Linked DNA regions of Alligator mississippiensis. The protein of the gene in region 1 interacts with the protein of each later gene in a biochemical or structural test. Links are inferred from orthologs where the notes say so. Each region holds a gene or a part of one and is shown on either strand. Other genes may lie near its edges.

Region 1 (7,719 bases):
TTCCAGTTCTCAACTGAAAACAGTGGAGTTACACCAAGGATGACTGTGTCCCCTAATGCTTGCAAAAATCTGAAAGAAAGGTATTACATTCCCCGATACGCTGAGCGTCCCTTAGAAGAGCCCTTTCCTGGCTCAGTGGTCATGCATTATAAATTACGCCATTGCAGCAGTGCCTTCAGACAAGACTCGATAGATTTGACCATCAGCTGTTAGGGGCCACGGAAGCAGACAACCCAACAGGTTAACTAGGGTTTTATTCAGCAGTGGTTCTGGTGATCTTATTCCCTTCTCAATTAGCTTTATCAGAGTATTAAGTTTTTGGGGGCAGGGATCCTTTATTGTGTTTTTACAGCCTCCTAACACAATAGATTCCAGGTCAATGACTGTGGCTCTAAGGTTGGACAGGGATAAAGTTAGTAGCAGTATTAGTGTAAGAGCCGACTGGGGGGGGGTCTTTTCCTTGCTGTGATGCCCACAGGCACACGAACAATCAGAATGGGATCATCAGTAGGCTCCAGATAGGTCCCTTATAATCACCAAGTGAGAATCCCAGGCTGTTCTTTTACATGTGCCTATAGGATATTTTGCATGAAATACTACTCTGATCCCAGTGTTTTAATTTCCCCAGGAGCGGCAGTTATGCCTTCTCTTAAATAAGCTGTGCTGCCTACACACAGTCTTACTTCTGAGGGCTGCCCGAGTCTAAGTCCCTATGATGGGGTCTGTTCAGGTACCAAAGATAGAGCTATTTCTACTCATTACAGGCTCTCTTAACAATACAAAAGCTTTACAAGTCTTTTGTTGGCAGATAACACAGTGCAGAGGCTAGTGTGGGGAAGAGAGAACAGTAAAAGGGGAAGAAATGGGAGACTGTCAAATTTTGGGCAGGAGGGGTGTGAGGGGAGGTCTAAAACACAGCACTATCATAGCAGTTGTCTTAGGAAAATCCCTTGCAACCTGCATCATGGTCACAGAGGAAGGTAGTTCCCGATAGGCAAGAATAATCACAATGGCTACAATAGCTTAACCAGGCTACAGACAAGCTCAGAAAGATCTCCAGGTGTTGTGTCTGTGTCTTCTCTGGTTACCTGCTATTTGTTGAATTTGCTGATGATTTAATATGAATGTTACATGAAGGGAAAGCATCAATCTTCCTGTCACAAAATGGTAGTCCCCAGAGCTTACAGGGGAACAAACAACCCAATCCTTTCTGCATCTTCTCCATCAGCTCCCGACATGGCATCCACCATAGAGGACAGAAGCAGACACTGGGGTGGGGATCAAATTAAACTTAAATGACACTGTTGTTTTGCCTCTTAACAACTACCTCCATCTTTAGGGGGCTGCATAGCATTGGGGGCAAGTCTTGCACCCAGCCAGTCACAATCAAGAGCAGAGGACAAGCTGTGTTAACCTAGCCTTCCTAGCAGGCATTTCACCTTGTAGGATTCCTCAGGGTGAAACTTGTAACAAATAAGACATCTAGTCATGAAGGATGTGCTCAGATAACAGCAGGGAAAGGTTATCTTGGTATCAAACGGGTTTTGCATAGACAGTTCTGTATTTGCATGCGCAGTATTCACTGATCAGCCCTTTCCAGAACCACATAGATGATTCAATGCCAATAATGATTCAGGAGCTGCATCATTTTTGGCACAGGTTTGAGGGTCCCCAAGGTGTGATAAAATAGGAGAACACACCAATTGTGGCTATTTTCCTCAGACATTTCTACCTCCTGAGATTACATAACGGAGGGAGCCTTTGTTTGTGCTTTGCTGTATCTCTACGAGGGTGTATTGAATGTACAGACCAATCTATGTTATTCCTTCTCTCCTTGAAGCAGTGCCCTCCCTCCCATACTCCTCAGCCTGCCCCCTCCATGTCCAGCAGCAATTGTCCTCTGACAACAGTGTGAAGGGGGGCAGACATCCTTCTATCCCAGCTCCTTCCCCTGAATCCTGCCTCCCTGTCTTTAGGTCTCAAAAAAAAATAAATAAATGATTTAAGATTTAAACCATTAAATCTCCTGTGCTGTGGACAACGCATTTAGCTCCATGACTTCCTCACTCCCTCTCCACCTTCAGACAAATGGCTTCTTTTGTGCATTAGTCACTCCAGAGAAGGATCTGTGGGAACCTCTTTCACCTCCCCCTTCTCCAAACCCTATGAGAGCCTACCCAGCAATGAGGCCCAGCACTGATCCGCTGCCAATCAGATCTAACCAGTTTAGAGCTTGACACTTATACACACACACACACTTATATGCTGCGGAGAGAGACCCCTGGGCTACTGAAGGTGACAGTGTCACCGCTCATGGATTTCTGCATTATACCCTGCATTGCAATCCTAGCTGTAGAGCGTGTGCATGCAGCAGGGACTGGGCTCCTTCTACACAAACCCCAAGTCAATGGGAGCAAGATCAGCCCTCCTCCCCCTGCTTGAATTGCACTGCCTGCATATTGAGTAATGCCTTGCACAAGATACAGACACATCAGGATCCAGCACTAGAACGACCCCTAAAATCATACGTGTCTTTGCAATCTTACCTTCCCACGAAATTCTCCAGCACGGAGCTCTTGCCGGCGCTCTGCCCCCCGACCACAGCAATCTGGGGCAGGTCCAAGTTGGCATTCTGGCCGATGGCTGCGAAGGCATCCTGGAGCTTGTTCACCAGGGGGATGAGGTCTTCCATCCCGCGGTTCCCCATGCTTGCAGCTCTGCCTGGCTCTCACCTTCTAGGCTTGCAATGCAACCGCCTCCTTCTCCCCCGCTTGCTTTGCAAAAGATCTACTGGTGGGGATCGACCCCCGAGCCCGCATGGGGGGCTGTCCCCACCCACCCTTCCGTGGCCAGTGGGGCTGGCTCGCCCTCCGCCTCCACCGACCTTGCCCAGGTCCCTAGATCTCTGCGGCAGCAGCGCTGCTCCCGACTGCCAGCTCGAGACCCGCTACCCGCCGGGCTCCTGCTTGGATTTAAAGCGCAGCGACCGAAAGCCGCCGCCAGGGGGCGCCGTGATGCCTCCGGCGCGCCCAGAGCTTCATGGGACTTGTAGTTTCTCTCTCTAGTGTCCGTGGGCGGCCAAAGCGGGCTATGCAGCAAGAGTAGAATAAGAGGGATGTTTCCAGTGTCTCAGCAAGCAAAATCCTCACTAGTGGAGTTAAAAGGCGAAATTAAAATCCAGCCCTACAAGCTGAGATGTGGCACAGCTTCATGATCGCTGATCTCTTGCACGATCAGGGATACCTTGCAGTACAGAAAGTAGGAATAAGTCTGTCTTCTTTCTTTGAACCTGGAGAAGCACAAAATGATCAGTGCCCTGACTCTGCACGCTGGAAGGGCACTGTGAAACCATCCCTTCCAACATGTGAAGTACTGTCTCTGTAAATAGTCAACACCTGAAATCACTGGTCTGAAAGGTTATGTTCTTGTATTTCTGATTGGCCTTCTGTTTTTGGATCTCTGCGTTTTGCATTTCATCCGACCGGGAAGTGATCCATTTCAGTTTCTTATTCAGCACACTCGGACCTTGTTGCCATTTCCCAAATATGCAGGGAAATACTTAATAGGATGTTTCCACCGGTTCTTTTTTTCTAATTTTCACAAAGAGAAAGTCTTCCATTTCAGGGTTTGTGAAAGGGTAGCTACAAAAATAAAATGCAGGGCCATATTTACATTGGAAGTATGCCCAGGTGAAAACAGTAGTGTGTTTGGGAAAAAAACAAAGGAAGTGGTGGCTCAAGAAAATATATAGCATCTCAACTGCCATTGTAACTGAGGCTAAACGGTATTCCTGTTCCAGGCTCAGATTCAGCTGAAAGCATAGTACTTTGGCCCTTTGCCTGAGCTGCCATCTTATTTTCCAGAATTTCTGCTCTCAGTTTTTTAAATAAGTCTCAGCTATTATAATTGTACATAAAACCTCACAAATATCAGTCAACTGTGAGCTATGCAGACACACCTGTATGAAACTGCAGAGCCTGGAACTATAGCTCTGAGAGGTGTGAAATGCCCTTTTTGTATCAGGGACATGTTAGCTCAGATGTCAAATGATGATTTACATCATCCATGCTGTTAACTTTCATTCCTCACGCAAGAAAGGTAAGCGGGGAGAATCAAAGATCTGCATCTCGTGCTGTGGGTGATGCATCATTTTCAGGCCATCAGTTGGTGGTGTTTAGGAGAAACCACTACTTATTTTTCCTTCCAAGCTATCAAGCCTAGTTAACCTCAAAGAGGGCCAAGCTTAATAACCCTAGTGGAGGTTAAGAGGTGCACACAGCCATATGTTGCCAATTTCTCTCTCTGCTGTGAGCCGCCTCTCATTCTGAGGATTCATACAGGCAGAGTCTGAAATAACAATATTACCCTCTCTCCCTGGCAGACTCCTGCCCTTGGAGATATCAGCAAAGTGTGAAACAGGCATCAAGAATGCCCTCCTTCCTGTCCAAGCCTCTTTAAGGAGCAACATCATTTCAGTCTCGCCAGACACATCTTTGCAGTCCCCCTCTAGCAATCTTGGTAGGAAAGTTACCATTTGCTAGAAGCTTGCTTTAATCTGCATTTCTAATATTCCTATACAATTGATTGTATTTGATTGCTATGGTCAACATTTGTGCTAACAGGAGCGGCCTCAAACTGTGCTGATATTGGATTTTGCCCCCATCTGGCTGTTTCACATTCTAAACAGGTGTTTCACTCCGGATGAGCCTGTTCCCCAGAATTCATCACTTGGAATCCTCCTGTTCTCAGTGAGATCTAAAATTAAATGAATATACTTGTTTTTCTATTAGAAAAGGTTTGCAAAAAAGCAAACCTTTGTGCCAACAGCTGATTTTCACACTGAAAAAAAAATTAATGTCCCAGGGGAAAGGAAAGGAAACTGGATGGATTGGAGGCAACACAGAATTTGCAGCAGGATCATTTATGAGCTCTTAGGTATTCTTGCCTTTATACTGATATGAAGTTGAAAGCTGCGAGAATCAATGAACCTACGGCTCTGAGGTGAGCTCTTTATGCCCTGCCTGGTTCAATCTAATCACAGTAGCCATGCTACCTGGTGCAAGAGAGGCCTGAAAGAAAGTGCTAGGGAAGCAAGCAGAAGAAAGCAGATTCTCTTCCCAAGCCTCCAAGAAAGGAGGAAAAAGGGAGAAGAAAAAATCTGCAGAAACGGTGGCAAAGTGCCTTGAGATTTTCACTCCGAGCCTGTCAGTCACCATGAACGTTACTTTGTAAGCTGCACAAAGCACTTCACCTTTTACTGTTTTGCAGGTGCACTCGGGTAAAGGAGGATATGGCATGTGTGCATGATATCAAAGCTCTCAATTGTCAGTAATATTGCCACAGCATTAGTCTGCCCTGTCAGTTCTGTGATGATTCCAGTCATACAGATCATGGCCTGCAAAGTCAGAGCCCTAAATTTAGGTATGAAGGAAACTGAGGTCTGATATCAAGTAGAACTGCATGTGCTTATTACCTCTCAGAATAATTTTCTGCTCATGTAAAAGCTTGTGCACAGGAATGGTGTCTGCAAAGGGCAGTGTAGCAGGCTTTGTGACTGTACAGCATTGCCTTTCTAGATGACTTACACACCTGCTGTACCAGTAGTTAAATAAAAAGAGCCAAGTGATGATCCTTGGAGAAATTATCTTACAAATAAAAAAGGACATTTCCAAACAGGAATGGAAGAGAAAAAACAAGATCATTTCTAGGCTAGTAAGTGCTGCCTGGGAACAGATGAATGAAGGAAAAGGGAGACCTTTTCTTTAAGATGGTTTAAAGATCTAGGGCCATACTTTTAAATTAATCTCTAAAACTGTACCTTCACATAAAGATGCTGCTGCTTGCAGCTCCATCTACTGATGTGCTAACAGGCAGCGTGGGTGCACTAGTCAGAGCAGCAGAGACTTCTTATGCCTAAAGAAGGGTGATTGTGCCTGAAAGCTTGCTAAGAACTTTTTTTCCAGCTACTCAGTTGGTCTAATAAAAGATATCACATCTACTCAAAGAACTTTGCCTGCCCTTGTTGGGACAAATGTACTTATGCAAAGACATCTGCCAACTATGTGGCTACTGCAGTTTAAAAGCCCTTTTGGAAAAGCACATCCTTTAAAAAGTCATCCAGTAGAGCAAATGCCAGCAGGCTGCCCCTCTGCAGGAGAGATCCAGGTGTATTGTCAATACACTCAGACCCCAGTGGAACAGTATACCAGATCCCATGTAAAGATTAGTAATTTTTATAATTGCCATTGGTGTCCTGCTCACTAAGAATCTCCTTTTCAGAGATCCTGAGCCCCATGGGTCCCAGCCTTCAGCCAGAGTTGTGAATGCTCAGAATTTCTGACAGTCAGATTACAGAGGAACCTCACATGCTCTTCACAGATTTGTTCCCAGGACACTTCTACAATCCAAGGTAAGAATCTAAACTTTTAAAAGATCAGGGATGGGGATTGCCAAATGGTTCAGTGTAGGAGAGTATCTTTATATCACTAGTGAATAACATAGACATGCAAGAGGAATGTTTTTGACATAAGAACAGTTATCTGGAACACGCACATCCCCCAAATTCTTGTTTCTGCCTGTGTTGCTTTGGCAGTCAGGAAAAAATAGTGAAATAACTGCTCCATTCCCCTTCAGTTCTGAAACAGGACACGGTAGAACCCACCTCACGCTCCTCCCTTTTACAAAAACCTTCAACAATGGCAAATATCGTTGAAAGCAGATTAAATTAAATTTATCCCTGGTATAGCTCCACTGATGTCAGGACTTAAGCAAGGTAATGAATACATGTAATTTTTGTAGCCCAGTGGGAAAGGGATTTTTGACAAGCGTGCGTCTGGAAGAATGAATGACTATTTTAAGACCTGTAGATGAGTTCCCTGTGCATTTCAAATGCGGAGAGGCAACACAAAATAGTAACTAAGTCTATGTTACATCCATGTGGGACTGAAAACAGTAAATAGAAGTTACTTGGGGCTATTGTAGGGAAGGCATCATCAAAATAGTATCTAAATTTATATCCTGTGGACATTATCTATCTATAGATGGTATTCAGCAAGAAATATTGCAAACAAGTTTGTATGTTAGCTGGCTGAAGAATAGATGGTAGCATCCCAACGCTTCCTGTACAAACAGTTTGGATAACCAAGTACTGCGTATAGCTAAGTAGTCAATGCCCTGTTGGTTCCCAGCTGGCTGGTTATGGCCTGGGTGGATCAGACAGGAAAACAGCAGAACCCAGCAAATATCTATATAGATAGAGAAATAGATCTAGATGGGTAGATAGATGGATATATCTAGATACATTTAATTTGTATCCACAGCCACATTAGCAAAAACTAATGCTAAATCCAAGTGTCCAGAACCATAAGCGGCCTACTACCGGCAACCATCCTCCACCCGCATCTGGGGCTTCAGCTGTTTCCAAAACCTTTGGGAGGCATCCTACTTGCAGGCCCAAGCCCGGGGGCTTGGGGTTCAGATGCCCCTGAGTTTTGCTTGTCCTCAGCCCTGCGGCCCTCGGAGCAAGCAAGGGGGGAGACTGCCATTTCCACAAACTGGGCTTAACACCACTGCACCTCGCCAGGTCCTGATCCACGCCAGAAGAGCAGTTCTCTTGTGACACGCTTCAGGAAAACTGCCTTCTTGGACCCAGATACGTGGCATTTCCAGTGCCAGGTGAAGAAGCCGCAAGGCTTGTCCTGAGATCTAGCTCTCAAGAGC
Region 2 (7,293 bases), on another chromosome or scaffold:
TCTCATTTCCCCCCCACGGAAGAAGTGTGTGCATTGGTGCATCTTATTTTGGCTGACTCTTAAGGACTCTGGTTTGGTTTTTGAGGGTCTTTTCCTACCTTCTTAAAAAATAAATAAATCAACATTGTTGCTCTGGGTTGATGTCAGAGAAGTCGAGGTCAAAAGATGAGCCTTGCACTTCGAGAAAAAGGAAGTGCAGGTCTTTGTTTCTGGGACTCTTCATTCCACAGTCTCGAAATAGGTTCAGTGTCCTGCACAAATGAGCTCTATCTTTCTTGCAAAGAGATCTTCCTTTGCCAGAGAAATGTAGCTCTCAGCTGTGTTGGTTTTTTTTTTTTCCCTCGGAGCACTGTGTGGTCTTTTAAACATCCTGAGGCCAGACCACAGGGTGCTTTGAAGATAAGGACAAGCCTTGAACTTGATTCAAAATTCTGAAGGAATTGACTGCGCAGAACGGAAGACACCCTGGATGTACTCGTAGTGGCCTGTGGTGCTGCAGAAGTGTGTTGCAGAATTTTCTATTCATTGGAGATTCCTAGCTACTGAAGTCTTTATGCCCAGGTATACTGCATCACTGTGGTCCACTGGAGGGGTGCTGACATCTGGTATAACTGAGGCCAGCTCATAATCTGCTAGGATGGGATGGAGTTGTCCAGAAACATTCACAGAGGTTTTTGAGAGCATAGCAATATCCAGTTGCTTTAATTTGGGTGTGTGTCTTCAACTAAATGAGACTACAGCACAACCATAAATGCTTCAACTTGCTTTCATCTGTCCACCAGTGTTACCTGTTGGACCTGGATTCAGTGGCACACTGCTCTTTACTCATGATCTGGTTTCAGTCAAGCACTTGGCCCTTGGCTATGGTGGCAATGATGTGCTCATATGTGATGAAGGTCAGGGAGAGCTACGTATCACCTGCATATTGCTGGAAGATGAGCCTGTATCGTCAGACCGGTTCACCTCATTGCTGCACGTGGCTGTTGAAAAGGACCAGAGTGAGAATTGAATCTTGTGTGACTCCAAAGTTAAGGTACCATTTCCTATCACTGTTCATTTAGTGTGCCCTTCCAAATGGCACAGAGGGGATGAGAAAGATGAGAATGGATGTCTGCCCTCTGTCCATTCACAGGAGATGAGCATCCATCACTGCCACTAAACTATTTTCAGTTTAAAATGATCAATGTCGGGTTTACAACAAACAAAAGGGAATGCTGATTTACACAGCACATAAATAACTTGTGGAACTCTTTGCCACAGGACCGTGTGAAGGCTAATAGTATAATCAAGGTCAGTTTTTATGGAGGATAGGTCCATGGAGCTATTAAATACAACAACCAGGGGTGTGAACTCAGGCTTAGGATGCATGACTTTGAGCATCTGGGAGAGTATGATTCTCCACACAACCCATTTCTTATACTCTCCCTCTGAAGCTCCTTGCTACTGCTGGAGACAGCACTGAGCAAGTTGGGTCTCATCCTGGCTGGCAGTTCTTGTATTCAGTTGTGTCCTAGCCTGAGTCTGGATAGTGGTTCCATTTAGATGAGCTTGCAGGGAGCCTTTGTCTCTACAATTTAGGAATGGGAGGTGCAACATTGAGTGGCAGCTAGTTAAATGAATACATCTAGCTGTGGGGAGGAGGAAGGAGGCTCTTCCAATGTCAGTTGGACTGTGGGTGCATGAAACAGGAATCTCTGAATGGTGTGTTGGCTCTATGGGGCACCCACTGTCCCTGATTCTTTCACAGGGCAGAATGGGCAGGGGTCAGAATGGGCCCAACTCCTTTAAAGGTGTCCAGAACTTTTTGGTGAGTGAATGTAGTGAACTCCAGGAGTGCAACTGGACTCTGAGCTGGTGGTAGAGATACAGAGCCATGCTGTTTGGCTTCTTAAAAGTATACGGTCTTTTCAGTGAAGTAGAACCATAAGCCTTTGCACCACATGGTGCTTAGTTCTGAATCAGGTTGCAAACAGTCAGGACAGATTAAATAGTTCACCCCCTAGCTTGCTTTCTTGTAGTAGAATCTGGCAGCTATGATGGAGGCTGATAGGAAAGTTCTCATGTGCTGTAAAACAGCCTTAGCAAAAGCCTTGAGGAAGTTTTTTCATTTTATCTTGTCTCTGAATTTGAGTTTCTGCCATTCTCTCTTTATCTGGCAGCGAATATCAGAAAGCTAAGGAAACTGAATGAGCACAAGCGGGAAGGGGCCTTTTTGAGGTCAGTATCTCAGTGGTCAAGGTTAGTGTATGATGATAATTCACTGAGTCCTCAATTCCTTAAATTTACATCATTGTAATAACAGAAATGCATGGAAAAAGTAACCTCCAAACACACAAAAAGGGGCTGTAAGACTCTTCTTCCAGGATCTGTCACAGGGGCATATTGCCGGGGGCAAAGGAGTTAAAATTTGGGGTGAAAGAGTACTTGTGTTTGTAACAGATAGTTTTGTGGCAGTGTTTCTATGCTGGGGTTGGACTTAGATGAGCCTTGAGGTCCTTGTCAGTTCTGTGATTCTAAGAGTCTATATTTTTTCAAGGTTGCAACATAGTCACACCAGAGAGAAAACTACATACAAAATGTTGCCATCACTTATCACTAGCTTCTTACTCAGCTGTAATTCAGGCATATTTCTGGCAACAGAGAACTTTTTTCTTCCAGTAACTTAGAATGTATTGTGAAACATGAAACGCGCATAACCAATCTTTATTGCAATCAAAATAATAGCTCTGAGAGTGCCAGCACTAAACAGACTTTTCAGTCCAAACACTGCAGGCTGTACACTCCACTGGCCTCTTTGTTCCTGATTTTGGTCTAGTTCTGTTGTTAGAATTAAGAACTTACTCTCTTTGGTATTACAAAAAGACTTCAACAAACAGAACATTTTGATTTATGAAATTAAAACCTGGAACATATTGGATGTCCTCCTTCCCCCAAAATAATGCTGGGATAGCACATAGAGGGAAAAAAAAACTCCCAGGAAAAGTTTATATTGTGTTGGACAAGCCGGAACAGATCATTTTAAAGTAATAATTTCTCAATCTTGTAAGCACTTACGTGCATGTTCGATGCATGTCAGTATTCCCATGTACTTAGCTTCGCTATTGTCAAACCATCGGTGGATTATTCTTAGCAGTGGAATTAAACGCACACATAAAAGCTTGTAAGGTGAGGGCTGTGGAGATAATGGGAATGACTTCTGACAGTGCATAAGGGTAAGGGTCTTTGCAGATGAGTGAGGAGTGGTGTCTATCAGTGGTAAACCTTTTTTGTACCAGGACCGCTTTGTAAACATCAGTGGCCAGTCCTGACCCAGTAAATAGTTTAAGTAGAAAACATCCCCCTGGCCCTGCTGGTGCCCCTTACTCCCGACCTGCTACCCCACCCCACCCTGCGAGGAATGGGGGAGCCCCAAGCAGAGCTGGAGCTCTGCCAGCCAGCAAGGGAAAAGCCACGGTTCCCCACGTTTTCCCCCTTTAAAGGAGAATCCATTTTTAAAGTTTGTTTCTGACCCTTTCGTATATTTTTGCAACCCAAATTTGGGTTGTGGGTTGAGAAACGCTGGTCTATGTTTCCAGTCCTGGGAGCTGAGAAGTCTCTTAACCCCCGCACCTGTAAGTGGAGATTGCAAAGTGCTCTGTGCCTGGCTTTTTACCCCCACCTATAAAGCTTTTATCCCTATAATAAAAAATATCAGATTTACCCAAAGAAACTTGTCTGCCTATGTCTGTACACTAACACGGCTACAGCCTATACCCCTCTAACCCTACACAGCTTTTATCCCTTAGAGGAATCATGAATGAGGGTGCACGCTAGCGAGTACCACATGCGTTGCTAGCTCATGGGAAGTGATGCTAAGCGCCGTGAGGATCAGATTAAGTCTTGATGGAAGTAAGAGCACCAGCAGCAATAGTAATGACAGGGAAAGCACAAGGGCCCCGGGGGCCTGGTGCAAACAGAGGCTGTCGGCTAGGCCTAGGAGTGGGACCTCACTCATAACTGATGGAGCTGGAGCTATTCCCAGCATCAAGCGCCCCAAGACGGGGACACCCGGGACTGGAGCCACGTGCCAGCCCCAGCCCCAGCCCGCCCTGCACTTCCGGGCGCTTCCGCAGGGGGGCAGTGCCCTGCCTGGCGCCTCTCTAGCCGCCGCGCGCCGCTCTGTAGTACCACCGGAAGAGCGGTGCTCTCCCTCGCGTCTCTGTGGTGGCGGCCGGGCCTTGCTCCCCCTGTCGGCAGAGGCGGGGCGGGGCGGGGCGGGATCCCTCCGCGGCCGGCCCACTTCCGGCTGCGTGGGAGCGGAAGCGGCGCGGGCCGGAGCGTCCGCCGTGGGGGGGTGTCTGTGCGCGTGTGCGTGTCCGCGGGTGTGTGTGCGCGCCCGCCCGGGGCAGCATGTCGGTGGCCGGGCTGAAGAAGCAGTTCTACAAGGCGAGCCAGGTCAGCGCCCTCGGGCTCGGGCTCCTCGGCTGCAGCCGTGCGGGGAACCGGGGGTGTGAGTGTGAGTGTGCGTGTGCAGTCCAGGTGTGCCAGGGTGTGTGTGTGTGATCCAGATGTGCCAGGGGTGTGGGCGCATCTGGGTGCGTGTGCAACCCAGACATGCCAGGGGTGCGTGTGCATTTGGGTGTGTGCGTGCGTGCCTGTGTGTAATCCAGAAGTGTCAAGGGGGCCAGGGTGTACGTGTGTGCTGTGTGCGATCCAGAAGTGCCAGGTGTGTGTGGGTGTGCGATCCACACGTGCCTGGGGGGGGGTTCGGGTGTACGTGTGTGATCCAGTGTGTGATGCAGGAGTGCCACGGCTGCATGCGTGGGGGATGCAGAAGCACAAGGTGCTTGCGTGTGTTTGCGTGCGCAGGGTCAGGAAGGAGGTGCCGGGTGCGTGTGCAGCCGTGATGCCGAGGTCTTGGCGGCGAGCTGTGTTGCCGCGTGCGTCCTGGCCGGGCAGGGACCGTCGTCCGCGGATGCCGCGGGGGAGCGGGAGGTGCCTTCCTGGCCCAGGGGTCACCCCGCTCTCCTAGCCTGCTCTTGCAGCCCCTCCGTGCAAGGACCACGCTTGCTTTCTGGGGAAAACGATGTGCTTGGCTGTAGGCTTCCTCTCCAAGGAGGCAGCAGCTGAAACAGATGGCTGCTTCTTGTCCGTACAGCCACGTCTTCTTTCTTTCCCTTCATTCCTAAATGCTTTCTAGCCACCCTTGCTTGTTGCTTCCCTTCCCATCTGTCCGGTCTCTTTTCACTAGGCACTCGCTCGTTCAAGAAGTGAAGGAAGGGGGTGGAATAAATGACCAGGGGATGTGAATTTCCAGTTCAGGGGTTCAGTGTGTATTGTGTTTTCTTCTAAAATGAGATTAATCACGTTGCAAGACTGTAGCAGAGACTCGCGTGCACCGCTGAGACAGTCACGGCATTTGTTACGTGGTCAAGGCTGAAATGCTGGCATGTTCCCTTGTTTTGCGTGAGGAGGCATAACGGAGAGAAGTTGTCCACAACCACATTCAGTAGCAATGTTTTTGGTTCTCCCGGCCAAGACAGAAATTAAAAATACTCTGGTCTTCCTAAACGTGTGTAATTCCTTGTCAGTCAAGGATCAGATGTGGCATATGTCACTTCAAATTGCTGATCCTAGCCACAAAGGAAGCATTAAGATGTCAGTTACCTATTTTTAAACTCTTCGTTTTTCCTATGGTTTTATGTCATTACCATGATTTCTCATTAATCCTTAACTCTGGAAGATGACCAGGAAAGTACTTCCCGTCATGTGAAGTTTCCCTATGGTTCTTCCCATGTCTAATGTGTTTTTCAGCCTTGTACTGCATTGCTTTGTGGTCGCACTAGCCACGTTTCCTTTGGACCTGTAAGTGAGATGTGTATCAGAGTGGCTCTTTGCTAGTTCTGCCCTGAAAGTTGCATTGCTAAAAGCTGCTTTTCAGAGGAGTGCTGCAAGTATCAAATGAGAATTTACTTCTGTCTTAAATACCTGTCTTCCTCCAGAGAGATCTTGCATACAGTGTAGGAACCGGTTTTGTAATGGCCACTTTGTGAAGGAGTTGCAATAGTTTTCTGAGCAAAAAGGACAGCTTAAGAATAATGGACAAGAAAACTCCAAATGATCTACCAAACGCGGTGATCAGTGACTCTTTTTTTCCTGACCATTGAGTTATTTATACGTCTTAATTTAAAAACAGGGAGTTGGAGGGGAAGGGCTGTGAAGGATCCAAATGGAGTGGATTTCAGGATGAAAGATAGGGTTATAGTTAGGAATAACGTTTCTTGTTATGCTTGGGGTCCAGGAAAGCACAGCAGCAAACTGCAGCTGCAGCATAACCCCAGGAAATTCTCCCTTCCTTGCTTAGTAGCTGGCATCAGGAACTGGAAAGGATTTTGTGGTGTGCACAAGTGACACCATCCAAGCTTTCGGCCCCTGTGGTTTTGTGTGCATGCGTGAGACAGGAAATGGCAGCCTTAAGATTCTGCGGAAAACTGTCAGATAGGCACATTTTTAGTGGTTTATTAGCAAAACAGAACTATTGGAAATCTCCCTTCCTGAGGCAGGTAGGAGCAGCGGGCCTTGAGCTTAAATTTGCAGCTGGGCCTTGTATGAGGGATCCCTTCCCACTCATGCAACGATGCACAGTTCAGTGATGCTCACAGCAGCCTAATAAAAGGGAGATTGGGTTTGTGAATCCCTCTTCCCCATCCTCTTGGCTGCTGCTGACCTTCCCTGCCAGAGAGGCATTATCCCTGTGGCTTATTAATTTGTAATTATCTGAGGAATGCATCAAGGAACAGTGAAACTTTGTGGGGAGGAACACCCCTCTGGCTCTCCCTGCGCAGCATACACGCCCCATTTTAAATTTAAACCAGTTGAACATTGTGCTGCTCTGCCCAGAGTGCGCGTGTGTTTTCCAGGCATAAAAGCTGGAGCACTTCAGTGAAGTGCAGCTGAATCCAAGTCTGTTTGCTAAGTGGCGTTCCCTCCTTCCTTGGCTACAGTTATGAAAAGGCATTTTGCTTATATGGCAAAACAAAGGGCTAGATTCCCGCAATCCTCATCCCCCATGCTCCAGGAAAACCAACCTCTTGATCATGGACTTCTTTTTATTGTTTTAAAACAAAAGTCTAAGGGGAAAGGCCTCACTGGGAATTTCTTGTTGGAGTATTTTACTGTTGCAAATCCTCTGTGATGAGTTAGTGGGGCAACCGGAGGTGAAAGTTCACTTCTGAGTCAAAAGCAACATGTAACTCCATCAGTCTGGATCATCGGGGAGACTTCATCAAGTGAAGTTGCCTGAACTGAATTGAA

What was found.
Region 2: the proteins of DNM1 (region 1) and SH3GL1 form a complex in vitro, tested with the Homo sapiens proteins (2 studies listed by BioGRID and IntAct, with this or other methods). The link is inferred for Alligator mississippiensis from reciprocal best matches to the Homo sapiens genes DNM1 and SH3GL1.

What each region holds. Positions count from the first base shown.
Region 1 is NC_081835.1:57,700,505-57,708,223, forward strand, and holds the start of DNM1 (dynamin-1), read right to left. Parts: upstream 3,001-7,719; 5' UTR 2,708-3,000; coding exon 2,547-2,707; intron 1-2,546. UniProt on the Homo sapiens protein: Catalyzes the hydrolysis of GTP and utilizes this energy to mediate vesicle scission and participates in many forms of endocytosis, such as clathrin-mediated endocytosis or synaptic vesicle endocytosis as well as rapid endocytosis (RE).
Region 2 is NC_081839.1:5,309,945-5,317,237, forward strand, and holds the start of SH3GL1 (endophilin-A2), read left to right. Parts: upstream 1-4,273; 5' UTR 4,274-4,389; coding exon 4,390-4,434; intron 4,435-7,293. UniProt on the Homo sapiens protein: Implicated in endocytosis. May recruit other proteins to membranes with high curvature.